Linked DNA regions of Arabidopsis thaliana. The protein of the gene in region 3 interacts with the protein of the main gene of each other region in a pairwise test. Each region holds a gene or a part of one and is shown on either strand. Other genes may lie near its edges.

The links. Proteins that work in one complex are often made in the same cells at the same time.
Region 1: the proteins of AT3G28270 (region 3) and NAI2 interact in a two-hybrid assay, tested with the Arabidopsis thaliana proteins (one study listed by BioGRID).
Region 2: the proteins of AT3G28270 (region 3) and TSA1 interact in a two-hybrid assay, tested with the Arabidopsis thaliana proteins (one study listed by BioGRID).

What each region holds. Positions count from the first base shown.
Region 1 is NC_003074.8:5,397,026-5,404,247, forward strand, and holds NAI2 (DNA topoisomerase-like protein), read right to left. Parts: upstream 5,628-7,222; 5' UTR 5,586-5,627; coding exon 5,511-5,585; intron 5,417-5,510; coding exon 5,362-5,416; intron 5,285-5,361; coding exon 5,243-5,284; intron 5,149-5,242; coding exon 5,033-5,148; intron 4,920-5,032; coding exon 4,850-4,919; intron 4,727-4,849; coding exon 4,652-4,726; intron 4,566-4,651; coding exon 4,518-4,565; intron 4,429-4,517; coding exon 4,363-4,428; intron 4,269-4,362; coding exon 4,221-4,268; intron 4,121-4,220; coding exon 4,055-4,120; intron 3,969-4,054; coding exon 3,921-3,968; intron 3,830-3,920; coding exon 3,767-3,829; intron 3,678-3,766; coding exon 3,630-3,677; intron 3,534-3,629; coding exon 3,459-3,533; intron 3,375-3,458; coding exon 3,327-3,374; intron 3,234-3,326; coding exon 3,168-3,233; intron 3,077-3,167; coding exon 3,029-3,076; intron 2,944-3,028; coding exon 2,878-2,943; intron 2,793-2,877; coding exon 2,745-2,792; intron 2,647-2,744; and 19 more. Other genes in the region: AT3G15960 (mismatched DNA binding / ATP binding protein), read right to left, coding at 6,975-7,222. UniProt on the Arabidopsis thaliana protein: Responsible for the ER body formation. Regulates the number and shape of the ER bodies and the accumulation of PYK10 in ER bodies, but is not involved in the expression of PYK10.
Region 2 is NC_003070.9:19,518,914-19,526,204, forward strand, and holds TSA1 (TSK-associating protein 1), read left to right. Parts: upstream 1-1,689; 5' UTR 1,690-1,848; coding exon 1,849-1,938; intron 1,939-2,015; coding exon 2,016-2,067; intron 2,068-2,165; coding exon 2,166-2,207; intron 2,208-2,290; coding exon 2,291-2,376; intron 2,377-2,516; coding exon 2,517-2,586; intron 2,587-2,726; coding exon 2,727-2,801; intron 2,802-2,884; coding exon 2,885-2,932; intron 2,933-3,031; coding exon 3,032-3,097; intron 3,098-3,185; coding exon 3,186-3,233; intron 3,234-3,333; coding exon 3,334-3,402; intron 3,403-3,488; coding exon 3,489-3,536; intron 3,537-3,660; coding exon 3,661-3,729; intron 3,730-3,798; coding exon 3,799-3,846; intron 3,847-3,944; coding exon 3,945-4,013; intron 4,014-4,110; coding exon 4,111-4,158; intron 4,159-4,255; coding exon 4,256-4,315; intron 4,316-4,390; coding exon 4,391-4,444; intron 4,445-4,525; coding exon 4,526-4,588; intron 4,589-4,681; coding exon 4,682-4,729; intron 4,730-4,805; and 15 more. Other genes in the region: AT1G52415 (Bifunctional inhibitor/lipid-transfer protein/seed storage 2S albumin superfamily protein), read left to right, coding at 7,253-7,291. UniProt on the Arabidopsis thaliana protein: Involved in seedling development in the dark. May be involved, when interacting with TSK, in the organization of spindle microtubules and may participate, when interacting with GIP1, in structural links between the nuclear envelope and the cytoskeleton.
Region 3 is NC_003074.8:10,536,021-10,540,579, forward strand, and holds AT3G28270 (transmembrane protein, putative (DUF677)), read left to right. Parts: upstream 1-1,984; 5' UTR 1,985-2,151; exon of another isoform or gene 2,152-2,693; 5' UTR 2,694-2,704; coding exon 2,705-3,829; 3' UTR 3,830-4,050; downstream 4,051-4,559.

The sequences.
Region 1 (7,222 bases), 5.1 Mb from region 3:
ATTATTAATTTCAAATAATGATCGTTTTGCTTTTTCCGAGTATGATTTGGGTCACACGTGTTAGCGACTCGTGTGGGATAATCTCTTTTCTTTATTTTTACGTGTGAATTTTTCTAGGACATCTTTAAAATATTAACTCATGATATAATTTAAATTTGATTTATAAAAAAATGACAACATTATAGAACATTTTCCTCACTCAAGTCAAATGTAATATTACTTAAATTTGTTGAATTTTAAAAATAAAATTAGTAGCCGACAAAAAATAAATATTGAAGTAGTTACAACGTCCTTTTTTTGTCAATTTATCAGGAAAATGTTAGATGAACTAATCTCTGTTTTATGTGATTTATTTACTAATAAACTGCAATTGCAAGAAATAAAGACACTCGATTTCTGATTTTAGCACTTTAACTCTTATTTCTTGCTAGTTCTGGCCTATATAATTGTCAATCTTGGAAAAAACATGCCTGAATATCATGATTCATATTAAAAAAAAAAAAACATGATTTTACCTTTTTGCAGTATTATCAATGAGCATATATAAGAAAAAAAAAGGTTTTATTATAAGACGACTAAAACATTATTTGTGTTTCACAAATCTCTCATTTATCTATCTCTCTCAAAGGTTTTTCAACCTCTCTCCCCTGATATAAGCAACAAACAAAGTCTCAAACAAAACAACACAAGAAAATAAAACACAAGAACCACAACTAATTGAACATGTGCTTTAACCACAATCAAGAATCTCATTAGTTCAATTAAGTGAACTAAGAAACTCAACCCAAATATGTTCTGCTCTCTTTGTCGTCTCCACCGCAAATTCCTCAGCCGCTTGCTCGTCCTTTGCCTTATGCACCGCCTCGTGATACTCTTCGTAAGCCTGTGACGCCTCCTTGAGAAGCTCTGACAGACTCGTCGTTAAAGAGGTGAACTTTGAATCAACGTCCACTTTCTCTGCTTCTAGCTTTGCCAACAGTTTCTTGATCGCTACGATTCTGATGTGCAACGCGTCTCCTCTTTGAGCAGTGGTCTTTGCTGCTGCGAAAACCGAGTCTACGGTTCTCTGCTTCTCCATTGCGGTTTCTTTTAGCAGTTTGGCTCGGGTTTGAGCAATCTGGACTCTCTGAGAAGCCTCGAGTCCTTCTTTAATGACGGTTTTGTATTTGGCTAGCAAAGAGATGTAACCAATAGAAGCTGAGCTGAGTACCTCGTAACGTGTACCGGCTGCTATAATCGCATCGAAATTCGGGTGGTTTACGAGATCACGTGCGCTTAGACCGCGTAGCTTCCTTAGTGTTTGCTTTAAGCTCTCTATGCTCTCTGATGTAGCCGCTGATTCGCTTGTGGTAGAAGTAACTGATGAAGATGAGCCAAGGACTGAGCCTACCTTTGAGGACGTTTCTTTTCTATGAGTATCAACAAGATTGTTCAATGATGTGGTGAGCCGAGAGGTCCCTGAGCCCTACCAAAGTCAAAAGCAAAAGATATAAACAAAAATGAGATTGGTTTAGATGTGAGAGCCTTCCATTGTCTATTCAAGAAAGATCTATAAAACAAACCTGTAATTTGGATTCTTCTGCGAGTATCTCCGCTATGTTAATCGAAGAATCAGTGTCTGCCTGAAGACCATCTTTATCCTTGTTGAAACAACCACATACACCATCTGCAAGAAACAATAACAGAGAGAAGACAATTAAGATTAGCACTCTTGTGACTTTCTTCGGTTAAAAACATTCACAAGAATGAATAAGCTTTAAAGCTAACCTGCAGGCTTTAGAAGACCTTCTAAACCAGCTGAAAAATAAAGAACATATAAACATTGAGATCTTGTTTCTTTTTGGGAAAATATTTGTTTGTGAGAATCTGAAGATTATATTACCATTGTATCCGCCAGAAGATTTCTGCACTGTAGTACTTATGGTTGATGGATTCTTTGCAGCTGTTGTGACAAAACATCTCAGACAAAAACTTAAAAGATAGAAAATGACATAAGGAAAAATATCAACAAGCTTTCTTACAGTTTTCTCCATTAGCCTTTGCATTTGTAGCAGCTGCAAATTAGAAAAATGAACAAGAAGATGAAACCAAACTGTCATATTATATACTATCCTTGTTTCTATATGAATTCATGCGTTTGGTTCTTAAGGTTACCTTCAAATTCGCGTTCGAATGCTTCCAACATACTGTTTCTCTTGTTTTCAGCTGTTAACAAAAAATAAACATCGTCTTAAAAACTTGTCTCAGATGGATTTGAGAGGAGCAAAAGGATCAGATTATTTACCTTGTTCTGATTCATTCTTTAACTCTTCAAGGCCTTTTGTCGCGGCTGAAACAAGAAATAAGAAACTCAGATTACTTTGATCACTTTTATATGATTCCGATTCATCTAGTTATCAAGGCTTGGTCACCAACAATGGCTCAAGAATATATGTTAAAGTACCTTCAAACTCGCGTTCAATAGCTTCAAGCATAATTTTTCTCCTTGCAACTGTAACAAAACATGGAAACAGAGCTGGCTCAGGATACAACAGAACAATATATACAAAATAGAGGAATATGGGGAAGAATAGTTACCGTGTTCATCATCATCCTTGTCGCCGGTTGAATCATTAGCCTTTAGCTCTTCAAGACCTTTTGTAGCAGCTGCGAGTAAGAAAATAAAAGAGAAGAAACTTAAGTACTTGACCTTTTAGAATGGATTTACATTTCAGCTAGGAAGTTCAATGTTATGTGAAAATGACCTTCAAACTCGCGTTCGATAGCTTCAAGCATACTATTTCTCCTTGCAGCTGTATCAAAACATACAAAAAAATCTTCAAAATACTATAGAAGATGCAAATATGATCAGAGAAAGTAGAGAGGACAAGTTATTACATTCTGCACTGTCATCTCCTTCACTGAAATCGTCAAGGTTTAGTTGCTTAAGACTATTTGTAGCAGCTGCAAAGTAGTTTGATAAACAGAGGAAATAATTCAAGATTTTATATGGGAACCATAAGAACTAATTAACATCAATAATAAGTACCTTCAAATTCACGTTCAATCTCATCCAACATACTTTGCCTCTTTGCAGCTGATTAAAAAGACATAAAAACCTCTCTCAGAATAACACTACAATAAAGGTAAATGAACCAAAAAATGTTGAGTGGAAAGATTTTTCTTACATTCGTCGTCTCCTTCAGCTTTGTTATCGGCGATATCTTCAAGTTGTTTAAAACTCTCGGTAACGGCTGCAAGAGAGAAAAAAAAAACTCTTAGAACTTCTTTGAACAATAAAGAGTTAAAGATTCTCTCTGCATATGATGATTGGTATGTCGATTTACCTTCAAACTCACGTTCAATTGCATCTAGCATACTTTGTCTTTTGGCATCTGTAAATAAAGCATAACATCTAGCTATCTCAGAAAACTAAATGAGGGACATAAGTTATCAAAGTAGAGATAACAGTTTCTTACCTTGTTCTTTATCATCAACATCATCTTTGACAGTGTGAGCATTAATCTTTAGCTCTTTAAGACCACTTGTAGCAGCTGCAAGTACAAAGATGAAACATAATCATAAATCCAATAAGTCTCAACACAAATATTGTGAATCAATTAAGACAGATATTGAGTGTGTCAAAATACCTTCAAACTCCCGTTCGATCTCATCTAGCATATTCTGTCTCTTTGCAGCTATAACAATAACAAGACATTAGATTTGTGTTCTGAGTAGTGTATCTGAGACTAAAAGATCATTTAAATAGAGGGAAACAAAAGATTACATTGTGCTTCATCATCTGTGCTTGAGGTAGAATGCCTTAGTTCTTCAAGACCTTTTGTAGCTTCTGCAAACAGAGGAATTACAGAGTCTAAGATGGTTCTCAAGAAGATATTTCATTAAAGACTTATTGGTTATACTTATACGTTTCAAGATACCTTCAAACTCTCTTTCGATCTCTTCAAGCATCTTTTGTCTCTTTGCAGCTACAACAAGATAACAAAATCCGACTCAAGAATACTGTAATACAGACAAAGGCATCAAACAACGTGAAACATAGAGGTTTCTTTACCGTGTTCTTCATCGTTGATTCCAGTTAAATCATCAGCCTTTAGTTGCTCAAGACCTTTTGTAGCAGCTGCAAGTGGAAATGGAACAGAAGACACAACCCAATTGTTACTTCAACTTTTCAGGTTCAAGAACTTAAGTAAACAAGAATAAAGATTTTGTAGAGAGACCTTCAAAATCACGTTCAATCTCGTCCAACATGCTTTGTCTCTTTGCAGCTGTAACAAAAAGAACAGAGAAATTGGACTTAGAATGTTGAAGAAGAACCAAAATGTGATCGTAACTAGTACTAGACAAAGAGTGTTTAGTTACATTGTTCATCATCTAATCCTTGGGCGGAATCATCAGTCTTTAGTTGTTCAAATCCAGCATGAGCAGCTGCAAGTAAATCTCTGTAAGTAAGACTCTACCAAAACAATGGTTTCAAAAATATAAACTTCAAGCTAGACAGAAACATTGATAGGTACCTTCAAATTCACGTTCAATGGCTTCCAACATTTTATGTCTCCTTGCAGCTAAAACAACAAAGAAAGTATAAGAGAAATCTCTTAGCACAAAGGTATCTGATCAAAGAGACGTGTTCTTTTCTTTTCTTTTTAACCTTCTTCATCATCTTTAGATTCCTCAACTTTGTTGATACCATCAGATCCAGCTTCTTTAAGTTCATTGATATGTGCTATAATCAAGAACACACAAACAAACTCTTCATGTCAATATTTTGATCCAAGCCTCTTCCATAGACATAATTATGAGACTTTTAAGAAAACAGTGCAAATACAGAGTAAAGGTCTCGACTTACCTTCGAACTCAAGTTCAATATGGTCCAACATACTTGAAGGTTTATCGACTTCATCAGTAACAGCTCCTAACTATATAGATCCAAAGTAGAAGAAACCAGATATTAAATTTCAGGAGTCTTTAAAACATAGTCATCCTAAACCAAAATCCAATCCCAAAAGTTAATTCATAGACAGGAATTAACCTCAGCTGATGTATCAACAGATTCTTTAAGAGTTTCCAATGCAGGTTCTTCAGATAGAGACAAAGAAATAGTGTTGTTATCAGACACTGTACTGTTTTTCTGACCACTGGTCTCAGCTGATTCCACACACACAACACAGTGACTATATCAAATAACAAATTGCAGAAGAAGAAAAGAAACAAGAAAGAGAGACAGAGAGAAAGGTCTTACTTTGATCTACTGCTTCATTGCCTTGGAGAGAATTGACACTAGCTGCAACCAAATGATAATTTTAAGAGAATTGTGTTTCATCTAAAAGATTATTCAGACAAATATATCGTAAGCCTTACTTTGATATTCATGCTCAATTAGATCTAAAGTACTCAAACTTCCAGTTCCTTCATCCTAAAACCAAAAGTCAAATGCGTTTGAATATCAGTTGATCATTTCTTTATCGTAAAATATATATTGGTAAAGCAATTGTATTTTTGTGTACTACCTGGCAAGAAACTTGATAGAAGCTTGAGAGAACAAGACACAGAGACAAACCCAGAGCTAAAAACTTTGTTCCCATGGTGGAAGATTGTTATCACAAAGATCAAAATACACTGTGTTGTGAAGCTTGAGGAAAAACAAGACTTTAAATAAAACCAAAGTAAAATAACTCAACGTGGCTTTTTAATTTAATAATAGAATTCACGTGGCTTTTATTTTTATATATATTCCACGTTCCTAATTACAAAGAATTCAACGCTATTTTTAATTTTATTCTTGTCTTCATTAGTTTCTGTGTATGTGAAACGCCTATAAATTATGATTATCCCACTCTTAATCTTGCCAAAAGAAAGACTAAGAAAAATGATATTTTTAAAAAAGTGAAAAAACGAAAAGTTTATTATTGAAATATATCTATAATGGAATCCACTAATGCTGGTAAATCCAACTATTAATCAGTTTAACTTACTACAATATTATGAAATAGAAGTATAATCATTAGAGTATAATTAATTATCCTCATAGGCCATAGTCCACGTATTGTGAACTACTTTGCTGATATAAATAAATAATGCGATGTTCACTACACTACTACCAAATCGTATCTGTTAGACTTGGTATTTATTTATACTATAAGATAATATTAGCGTGCTACATGAGAAAATTAAATACATATATATGATTGTACTTGTACAGAACTGACAACCACATGTGTCACGACCCTAAAACTCAATGATCGGCTATAATTAAATTTTCGTTCGGCAGTAAATTCAATATCAAACCTTTTAGCTTGACTTAATTTTCTAGTTTACTTTTTAACCAATCCACTTTTTCCTAATACTAAAAATATGAAAAAATCTTGTAAAATAATAAACCTGAAGTCTCTCTCTAAATATTGATATTTTAACGTCTCTATAGATAATTAGTAGACGACAGCTTGACGATAGACGAGTCAGATTCGATTCGATTCGATCCGATCCGATTAGAGAATATAATATTGAGAGGGGACACATTGACATTGTTTATCCGGAAGTAACGCGACCTAGCTGCCCATGTATCATCCATTTCGTTGCTCTTCGATCTATTCCTAAAACGTGCTACATAGAGGGATACTATTAATAAAACAAAACTGATTTGAAGTAAGAAAAATAACTACACAAAAAAACTTATAGTTCTGTTATAAATAGAAATAATGTCTAGTGTCATATTTCATTACTGCTTTGGGCCACATAATGAAAGCTGAGTCATGTCTTTCGACCCCAAATAATTTTTTTTTAATGGTAATTGGTAAATTAATTATTATTCTTTACGAAGTATTTATATAATCTGCTGATATCATTAAAGTAAAGAGCAATTTGACAAGGCGCTCACATAAAAGCTTTATATTAGAAAGGGAAATGACAAGGAATAAGACATAAACAAGAGAGAAAGCATGTAATTAAAAGAGAAGAAAACAAAAGACTTGTCTCTAGAGAGTGCTGAGAAACTCAACCCAAACCATCTCTACCCTCTCAATGGCCTCACGCGAGAATTCCTCAGATGCTTGTTCCTCTTTCCACTTACGCACGACCACATGATACTCCTCGTAAGCTTGAGAAGCCTCCTCTATAACGCGTGATAGATTCGCAACTGTCTTTTCGAAAGTCATATCAACCTCATACTTCTCGGCCTCAAGTTTCGAAATCAGTTTCTTGATCGCAAATATTTTCACGTACA
Region 2 (7,291 bases), on a different chromosome or scaffold from region 3:
TTATTTTTGTTTGTTTGTAATACAGGAGAACGCTGATTAGAAGTCCATATTAATCTACTTGACATGTATAGGTAGAATTATTCAGAACCAAGAAGACATGCATGCTATGTCTATATGTATATGGCGGATATGGAAATTTATTTGATAAAATGAATTAATGTTTATAAAAAGCATATCATAAAAATAAAATAACACATCCTATAATGGTTTTAATAACAGGTAGAAGAACTTCCCGAACGTGTTTTAACCCATTGATATGTAGGTTGAATTATTCAGAAATGAGAAGACATGCATGCTCCAAAATTATGTACAATCATTTCACGGATAAAAGCAAAATAGTTGATAATATATATATTTTGTTTGAAAAAGGGTTATAATTGAGACGATATATTTACGTGTTCTCTGATTCATATACTACTGTCTAGTGATATATAAACTTTTATATATTTATAACATAATACTAATCTCAAAAAAAAAAAAAATATTAGTAATCGATATATATCACATGTTGCACGTTGAGACAACATATATCTTTCTACTAGTACTGAACTTATATTTGTCCGCTCTGGACTACGACGTCACACGGGAGCCATGCATTTAACTATTCCATCAAGGGACCATCAAACCTAGAGACACTATTGGATAATTTATTGTTTGAAGAAAAAAAAATTATTGCGTAGTTTAAATTATTCACTTATTAATAGTTAATAGAAATTGAAAAGCGATATTACAACAATAATATTCTTTACTTTGGATAGAGTCGTATAGAGAATTAAAAATATATATTCCAATTATTAAATATAAAGTTAATTATAGAAAGATTGCATTTGGGTACATGTAATGCGAACTTATGAGTTCTTCAAATTTAAAGGCACTAATTCACTTTTTCAAAAGCCAAGAAGTAATTATTTTATTTGGAGTTTTAAAGTTGTTTCAGGGTTTTATCATTTTGAACAGTGAAAAAGTCCCTATTTCTATAATTATAGCCTTTGAAAAATGCCTACTTTCACACGAATTTTATGAAAAGTTTGTAAAATCCCTTAAATGTGATTATATATACTGAAAAAAGAGGTTCTAAAATCTTCTTAAGGTTTCAAGTTTTATTTCTGGTTCAACATATAGAAGAGACATTAATAATAATGACCCTAGCTAGCATTCTCCACAAAATTAAGTATGGAGGATGAGTCTGTCCATGGATTGATATCCAAATTCATGACTAGACAGAATTAACGCAAAAAATCGAAATTCCACAATATTGACAAAATGAAATATAAAGTCATTAATTTTTTTAGAGTTGTGAGTTTGTTTTTTTACGTAATAATAGTTTTAAAAAATTTAATTTACATAATAGAAAACTAATAAAAGTATTTTTACTATGTCAAAAAATATAAGAAAACAAACCAACGTAACACATAAAAAAATGAGATGTTCAAAAACGAATTTGTACGAGCTTGACCACTTAACTATTGAGCAATCTGATTTGGGAATGGAAGGCATAACCAAAAAAAAAAGAGATGTGTTTTTAAAAAAATTGACTTTATTAAAATAAATATTTCTATCTTAGTTATTCCATCAATAGTTTTTTTTTTGTTTTTTTTCCTATTTCCATGATATTATTATTTTCAATAAAATTATAAAATGTCACATTTACTAATATTAATTATATTATTTCACATCTAGCTGTTTAACTTTTGCTACACACAAAATGAGTTATCTAGAAGAAGAGCCACGAGATAAAAGAATGAAATCCACGTTTAAGTTAGTTACAACGGTTTTATTTTATAAGCGTATCCATAGCTATGTGATGCTTCTTCAAGCTTAAAGATTTTGTGTATCCTCGTTCTTGTAATGGAAATCTACACCATGAAAACGAATTTTCTTGTACTGGCTTTGTCTTTGTGTATCCTTCTTTCAAGCTTCCATGAGGTTTCTTGTCAGGTAGAAAAAAACATGTCTTTTAATTATTTTTCTTTCAACCTTAAAAATAATTTTCAACGCATCTTGTATCTTTTTAGGATGATGGTAGTGGTTTGAGTAATTTGGATCTAATAGAACGTGATTATCAAGGTAAGGACATTCTCAGAAATACCGACACTTATCCAAGGTTTTCTTTCTTTTTATTTGTTTTCTTGGATTGATTTTAGGTTCTCTTTTTTTCTTTCTAGATAGTGTCAATGCTCTTCAAGGCAAGGACGATGAAGATCAGTGTAAGATCTCTCTCTCTATATCTCTTTCTTGATTCTATTTTTGTTATGTTTGTGACAGCTTCTATGTTTCTGTGTGTCTTCAGCTGCAAAGATACAGAGTGAAAACCAGAATAACACTACAGTGACTGATAAGAACACTATTTCTCTATCTCTATCAGATGAATCTGAGGTTAGGGTTTAGCTTTTGTTGCGTTGCTCTTTAAGTTTAGATTTGGATTCTAATTAATGAAAGTAATAAAGAGATTCCTGCAAAGTAGTTTTTTGTAAACTTAATTAAGGTGAATTTTTGTCTTTGCTGTGTGTGTTTAGGTTGGATCTGTTAGTGATGAAAGCGTTGGACGTTCGAGTCTGTTGGATCAAATCAAACTTGAATTCGAAGGTATCTCAAGATCTTGATCTTAGTGATTGTGTTTATGGTGTGAAACATGAAAGGCCCTTATTTATTTTACTATATAGTTAATCAGAAATTGATGTTTAGTAAAGTTTTTGTATATAATTGTGTATCATGATTAATTGCAGCTCATCACAATAGTATTAACCAAGCTGGATCTGATGGTGTCAAGGCTGAATCCAAGGATGATGATGAAGAATTATGTAAGATTTTCTTCTATGAAATTCTTTGTTTCTTCAATAGTTCTTTCTTTTGCTGATGTAGTTGTTATTGTGTCTTGTTTCAGCTGCTCATAGACAGAAAATGTTGGAAGAAATCGAACATGAGTTTGAAGGTTGTCTCATAGATTATACATCTAGCTAGCTTATAGTTAGTTCACTTATAAAAAAAAGTTTGTTAATCTGACTTCTTTTGCTTCTCCTACTTGTTGCAGCTGCTTCAGATAGTCTGAAACAACTAAAGACTGATGATGTAAACGAAGGAAATGATGAAGAACATTGTAAAAGACTCCTTCTCTTGACTCCATTTTGTCCTTGCCATAATATGATACACTGAAACAGGTTTTGTATCACTTGTTACACTTACAGCTGCAAAGAGGCAAAGTTTGTTGGAAGAGATCGAACGTGAGTTTGAAGGTATATTCTCAACATACATGTCTTAGATAGCTCCTCTGTTTTGAGATAAAATCTTGAATCTAATAGTTAGCTTTTTCTTCTGTTTCATCTCATACCTTAGCTGCTACAAAAGAACTTGAACAACTAAAGGTTAATGACTTCACCGGGGACAAAGATGACGAAGAACACTGTAATAAACCTCTTCAATTTCAGATTTATCTGTTCCCTTTGTCTCTATTTGAGTATTTTGTGACTGATTATGTGTCTTTGTTACAGCTGCAAAGAGAAAAAGTATGCTTGAAGCTATTGAACGCGAGTTTGAAGGTATCTTGAGACACCAGTATGTTTCAATATGTTCTAAGAAGAATGCAGAAACCATTATAAATCAATCTGAGTATCATCTAAGAGTTTGTTTGTGTGATTTTCTATTTCAATCTCCTACTTGCAGCTGCTATGGAAGGCATTGAAGCACTTAAGGTTTCTGATTCCACAGGAAGCGGAGATGATGAAGAACAATGTAAAGTCACATATAGTCCTTTTTGGTTTTCTCTTATCCATTTCCACTGAAGCTGCTATCTTGTTACAGCTGCAAAGAGACTAAGTATGCTTGAAGAGATCGAACGGGAATTTGAAGGTACTTTGTATATATACCACAAACTGTCTTAATCATATGATTCGTAAAGAAAATTGTGTGTTACTTAATAATATGTTTCTGTGTTCTGTTTCTCATAGCTGCTTCAAAAGGTCTTGAACAACTAAGGGCTAGCGATTCAACCGCGGACAATAACGAAGAAGAACACGGTATGAAACGTTTGCGGTTTGTCCCATCTTCTTTATCTAATTCCTTTTCCTGCATACAGTTTTCTGAATCAGATTGAATATACTGTCATAAAAACAGCTGCAAAGGGACAAAGTTTGTTAGAAGAGATCGAACGAGAGTTCGAAGGTATCTCCTACATAACATTTACTAAGAGTCTTAATTAGTTCACATCCCAACCCTGAGTAATATCTGAGAGTCTTATATCTACATTTATCACTTGCAGCTGCTACAGAGAGCCTTAAGCAACTTCAAGTTGATGATTCTACTGAAGACAAAGAACACTGTAAAGCACTCTTCTTCTTATTATCTGCTATTCTTTCTCTATGGTTATCTGAATCAGGCTTTGAATGTATTGTAGTTACAGCTGCAAAGAGGCAAAGTCTGCTGGAAGAGATTGAACGTGAATTTGAAGGTTATCTTTAATATCAAATATAGAAAACTAAACATGGAGAATAGTGTTTTTAAGAATGTGTTTATTGTCTTCTATTTGCAGCTGCAACAAAAGATCTTAAACAACTAAATGATTTCACTGAAGGCAGTGCTGATGATGAACAATGTAAATATCTTTCTTTTTCTGCGGGTTTTCGACTCTTTTTCTTCCTTACAGTATTCTGAGCCTATTCTTCTTGTATCTTGATCTTTATTACAGCTGCAAAGAGAAACAAAATGTTGGAAGATATCGAACGCGAATTTGAAGGTAATCTATCCTCACATACCATTTATCTCACACTCTTTTTTAGATCCTAATTTTCTGTAATTTTATAATTTTGTAGCTGCTACAATAGGTCTTGAACAACTAAAGGCTAATGATTTCTCTGAAGGCAATAATAATGAAGAACAATGTAAGAAACAACAAAAACTCTTCTTGATTCACTTTCTTCACCACAGTATTCTGAGACAGAGTTAGTTATCTCTTGTTATATAGCTGCAAAGAGAAAGAGTATGCTTGAAGAGATCGAACGCGAGTTCGAAGGTATGTCAACATATAAGTATCTGTCTCATCAGCTCATATTCTTCAGAGGAAATCTTGAACCTGTTTTCATCTTCTACTTGCAGCTGCTATTGGAGGTCTTAAACAGATCAAAGTTGATGATTCCAGAAATCTTGAAGAAGAATGTAAACTCTCTGATCCATTTTTTCTCTTTAAAACCTTCTCATACAAAATTTGTAACTGTTTTGGTTATAATTTTTTGTTTCAGCTGCTAAGAGAAAGATAATTTTGGAAGAGATGGAACGTGAATTTGAAGGTACTCCAAGATTCTATTACTGATCTCTTCTAAGTTCTAAGTAAAGAAAGTATAGATTGACAGTTTCTGATTCCAACCTTCTTGTTCTGCAGAAGCACACAGTGGTATTAATGCAAAGGCTGACAAAGAAGAATGTAAGAAACAACCAAAAGTCTTTAACTTTTTTGCTTCACTCACTGTCTCAAAATATTTTTCTAAGACAATTCTTGTTCTCACAGCTGCAAAGAAACAGAGTGGCTCTGCTATACCAGAGGTTCTTGGACTAGGACAGTCAGGTGGTTGTAGCTGTTCTAAACAAGACGAAGATTCCTCGATTGTTATACCAACAAAATATAGCATAGAAGATATCCTCTCTGAAGAATCTGCAGTCCAGGTTTTTGTTTTAAACCTTTTCTTGAACAGCAAGAAAGTGATCAGAATCACAATCTCTAAAGTCTAATTCCTATGTTTTCATGATTTTTCAGGGAACAGAGACTTCTAGTCTCACCGCGTCTTTGACTCAACTCGTTGAGAATCACAGGAAAGAAAAGGAATCTCTACTCGGACACAGAGTTCTCACTTCTCCTTCTATAGCTTCTTCCACAAGCGAATCATCTGCTACATCAGAGACTGTAGAAACCCTAAGGGCTAAACTGAATGAGCTTCGCGGCTTAACCGCTCGTGAGCTTGTGACACGTAAAGATTTCGGTCAGATTCTCATTACGGCTGCGAGTTTTGAAGAGCTAAGTTCAGCTCCAATCAGTTACATTTCTAGGTTAGCTAAATACAGAAACGTCATCAAAGAAGGACTTGAAGCTTCTGAGAGAGTTCACATCGCGCAGGTACGAGCAAAAATGCTCAAAGAAGTTGCCACGGAGAAGCAAACCGCCGTGGACACTCATTTCGCAACCGCTAAAAAGCTTGCTCAAGAAGGAGACGCGTTGTTCGTTAAAATCTTCGCAATCAAGAAACTGTTGGCGAAACTTGAAGCAGAGAAAGAATCTGTTGATGGAAAGTTTAAGGAGACTGTGAAAGAACTTTCTCATCTTCTGGCTGATGCTTCTGAGGCTTACGAAGAGTATCATGGCGCGGTGAGGAAGGCGAAAGACGAGCAAGCGGCTGAGGAATTTGCGAAAGAGGCGACGCAAAGTGCAGAGATCATTTGGGTTAAGTTTCTTAGTTCTCTTTAGAGAACAATTGAGATTCTTGGTTGTGTTAAGAGCAAATCTAGAGCTCTTGTTGGTTCTTGTTATGTATTTTGTGATGATGTTCTGTTTCAGAGTTTGTGTGTTGGTTGTATCAGGAGAAAGAGGCTGGGAGATAGAGAGAAAGAGAGTCTCTGCGAAAACTAATAATGTTTTTTCAGATATCTAAATAATAAGCTTTTTGCATACATTGTATTGTAAATTTGTAACATTCTTCTCCTCTCTTCCAATGATTTTTTTTTCTTGTTGACTATTCTTACTAAATAACGATGAGGTAAAATATAGGTAAATGATTATCATTTTTTTTTTACTTGCTATATCATTTCAACTGGGAGAGGTTAAAAATACAAAAATAGCTTTAAGCCTTTAATAACAATATTGGCAAAGTATTTTACTATGAGATAGAAAAATGGTTTTTGGTGTCCACTATAAAAACAACTAGAATGATCGGTCAATTTGAATTTACAAGGAACATTGAAGTTCTCACTTCTAATCTATTCTGATTTACTCTGAAATTTTAGTTATAGTTTGACCTACTAATTAAAATACTCTAAACTAAAACGTACTAGTGTTTTTTTTTTTTAAACGTACTAGTTGAATCCGAGAAACGCTCAACTCACCGTTTTTTTTTTGTTTTAAATAATTCACACGCGGCCGAATGCATTAAAATCTCGCATGCGTTTATTAAGTTGAATTTTCTGTTAAAAGTATATAAGATAGTGTTACGATTACGTTTATTAGGTAGAGAGATATAGTAAGACCAAACAAATAAAACAAAAAATTTGCTACATGGTTAGGATGATGATGAAAGTAGCGTTTGCAATGACG
Region 3 (4,559 bases):
AAGAATTCTTTACACCAAACATAAAAACCCAAAACCCAAAAGAAACGTTGGTACTCATCATATGCATATATACCTAACACACATTTTTTGTGTGCAGATAAATATGTCTAACTACCTCCATTAGGTATTCCAATATTTTGCTTATAGATTACTAGAAGAGTATATTTCATCTACGATAATTAAATTTATTTAAACAAAAAACGTATTAGAACGGGTATTATTAAAAAACATCGAAGTACAAGAAATAATATTAAGACTTTGTTAATTGACAACTCCTTTACTTGGTTGCTTTCTTTTTTAGTTGTATATAAATAGTATATACTAACCGATTTTTTAAAGACTATAAAAATTCGAATCTATGGACCTTAAACATATAATCCCTTAAACACGCAATCTCCATTGCTCGAGTTAGATCCTCCCATGCGTTAATATCTTTATCACTTTACCGGCAACGCCACTCCAGTCCTCTCCCAAACTTAACTTCCAGTTACAATTTAACAAATTAAATAATTTAAAATTATTACCATTACATATGCAAATCTCAAACTAAGCCAAAAAAAAAGAAGACTATATATAAAGTATTTTACATGGTTTTTAACGCTACAAATGTTTGGTCATCCTCAACAATTATCTTAAGATTCTTAACATGCAGACTAAATAACATATGTACAACAATATCGCAGAGTATTTTTACTTCAAGAAACCAAAACACAACCAGTCAACCACATCAAATCACATCAAAACTCTTTTTCTTCTCTAGAAAGTGGCATCTGTTTTTTTCATATAGACCCAAAATCCTTGTCTCATTTCTCTCTTTCCCCATTTAATACTACTCAAAAAAATAAAATTAAAACCACATCTTTATATCACCACACAAAAACTCACTTAAAACAAAAAATCATTATCGACATTTCTTTCATTCTATCTTAAATCCTCATCATCACTCAACTTGAGCTCGCCAACACAGATTTCTCCTATATATAAAACAAGTTAAAGAAACAAAATATGTATATTTTAAGGTTAATTGTATGTTGATTTGCGTTTGATAAAATAAATATTAGGGTTTAGATTTTACACTTATGCAAATTAGATGTCAATTTGGATTTATGGTTTAAGGCTTAGGGTTTAGGGTTTAGAATTTTACAATTAAACAAAATTATGTATCGATTGGGATTTATAACAACGAGGTTATGGTTAGATATTATAATTAAACAAAATTATATATTGGGTTGGGTTTATAAAAAATTAAGTCTGATTTAGATTTTACAATTAAATAGAGTTATATGTTGGTTTGGTTAGTAGATATTTTGTTTTCTTAATCTGTTTTGTTTTATGATTATAGTTTTAATTTATTTTTAAAGATAATAAGACATGGTATATTATTATATTTTAATTAGTCAATTAAAAGGATGAATAAGATTGTGAACCCAATAATTATTCATATACGACGTGTCAATAATCCACTCCTTCAACTTAGGACCTTAAACATCTAATCCCTTAAACACGTAATCCCCATTGCTCCAGTTAGATTCTCCCATGCCTTGATAATTTTATCACTTCACCGGCAACGCCACTCCACTCCTCTTCCAAACTTAATTTCCAGTTACCATCTAACGAAAATAATAATTTTAAACTAATACCATTCTGCACATCTCAAACTCAGACAAATCAAATATAAACAAGACATTTCTTTGGGCAAAATAAAAACGAGACTATAAAGTATTTTCCTTGGTTTTTAAGACTAAATAACAAGATTATTTTTGCTTCAAGAAACCAAAACACGAGCCACACTGATTACACAACCACATCAAAATTCTTTTTCTTCTCTAGAAAGTGCCATCTGTTTTCTTCCTATAGACCCAAAATCCTTGTCTCATTTCTCTCTTTTCCCATTTAATATTACTCAAATAAAAAAAATAAAAATAAAAATCAAAACCACATCTTTATATCACAATAACCCACATAAAACAAAAAAATCGTTATCGACATTTCTTTCATTCTATCTTAAATCCTCATCACTCAACTTGAGCTCGCCAACACAGGTTTCTCCTATAAATACTTGTAAATTACAAACCCAAGAAATCATTCAAAACTTCATACCTATTATATATATTGGTGAGAGTATTGAGCAAGATTCTGATTCAATTTCTGGTTAAGTTTTTCTCTCTTCAACTCTCTTTTTATTCGTAGTTTAATGATCAATTTATTATGTTTTGTGTTGTACGTATATTATTTTTATTATCATAATTTTCTTTTTCCTCATGATTTTTACAGGTAACTGTATTTTTTCTATGTAAAATTCAAATACATTATTGTTTTGAAAATAAAATAAATATTATTATCGAGAATGATGTATGTATATTAAAATTAATATAGAAATATTCGTACAAAACTATGTTTCATTATCAAGGATAATATATTTTCTTAAAACCATTCTACAAAATCTAGGAATATAATGTCGATAGATCCAATTACTTTCAAAATTGTCGCTCATTGAAATTAACAATTTATTAAGATTAACTAATAAAAATTCATTTTGCACAAAAAAAAAAGTAATAAAAATTCACTAAGACAACTAAAAAAATCACTTTTTATAAACAGAAGAAAAAACCTATATAACTACTTTGTGGATGTTAACTCCTCTAAAACTGTCCTAAATCTCTCTAACTTATCTTGATTATTTTTCCTTTCAGCAATATCATCGATGGCGTTATCCAAAGATTTGATGTTGAAATGCTCGGAAGACATGATGAGTGCTTACAAATCTGCTTGTGAAGAACACCCAAAACTAAAATCCTTTGATGCTTCCCTTCAGCAGCGAACCAACAAAATGATAGACTCACTCACCGTTGAAGACAAGAATGGTTCGTCCTCCCCACACGACGCACACATGGAGCTCTCCAAGCACCTAGTTGAAGTTACCCAAGGTGTGGCAGACTTCATTACCGAAATCGAAGACGATGTGTGGGACAACCAAGCTCTAAAGTATTTGGTCCTGGCCTATTTTGAAAATACTAAAAAGACTTTAGAGATTTTCAAAACTATAGAGAACTGCGTCGAGAACGCAGAAATGGGCCAACTTCTCATTCGAGAGGCCTTGGCCGAGTTTGAGAAAGAGTCGGCAGAAAAAGATGTTGGTGGGAAAAAGAAGAAGTATGAAAAAACATTGGAGGACCTCAAGAGTTTTAAAGAGATGGGAGATCCCTTTGACGGCAAAGTTCTCACAACTCAGTTCGAGCGGATCAAAAAGCAGCAAGAATCCCTTCTGGAGGAAGTGAGTGAGACTAGAAAAAAGATTCAGGACGAAATTAGTAATCTAGAGAAAAAAACTTTAATTACGAACGTGGTTTTCGGCGCTGCGTTTGCTATTGTTGCGGTTGCATCCATAGCTCTAATTGCAACAGGCGTGGGTGCGGCTGCCGGCTTTGGGGCTCTAGCCGCACCACTGCTTGCGGCAGGATGGGCTGGAGTCTACACTACCTTGGATAAAAAGAAGGATGCTCTGAACAAACAGTTAGAAGGTCTAAAGAAAGTGGAAGAGATAGAAGAATCGGTGGAGAAAGGTATAAAAACCAACGAAGAAGCGACGGAGACCGTATCGATTTTAGTCGACGGGCTAGAAGACCGTATCAAAAATATGTTGAAACTTGTAGATAATGCTATTGACCATGAAGATAATGAGGCGGCCACGAGAATTGTCCTAACTCAGATCAGTAAGAAAGTAGAGAAATTAACAAAGAAAATCACGGAGGTTGGTGAAAGTGTGGAAGATCATAGCAAGTTGATTGCAAAGGCCAGACTTCAAGTTCTGCAAAAGATCAACCGTTAATCTTTTGTTTAACGATGTTTGTTGTTCAAAATCCATATTTTAGTATGTTTTAATCATCCCATTGTACCTTTTTAAAATATTATATGTTTTGTAATTTCACCATCCGAGAGATTGGTTGATATGTACCTCTATCCCGTATATTCGTGAAATAAAGTTTGAAAAAAACTTGTGCTTTATTCATCTTTTCACAAATTAAATGACCAAATAAAATCACCTTTTTTTTTTCTTTCGACCAAACAAAATTACCTAAACCAAGCGTACGAAATTTAATCTTGAAATATGAAAATTTTAACGCTCGGAAGGAGAATATAAGATCAAATCAATATATACTTTTCCTTTGGGATAATCATAAAACTCATTATCCTATCTGAGATATTTGGACGAGAATTGACGTGAAAATAGATTTTTGCCATTAACGATGAAGATCCAACCAATTGGTATCGATCGAGCCCTTCTACTTATGTAGATCCAACCAATTGGAATCGTTATCCTATGCAAACCTAGTTAAAATATTGATTTCACAGAGGAGTAAGAGAGGGAAGAACCAAAGTAAGCGATCATTCTTAGACAAGAATGATATAAAACTTTTATATTACTGAAACTTGTTATCTACATCACCTAGCTACTTGTGCCTCTTGAAAAATAAACCCGATTGTGTCGTTTTGTTTTGTTTGCATGCAAGTAATTAAGTACAAACGAGTGAGTGAGAGAGAGTGAGCACAGATACATG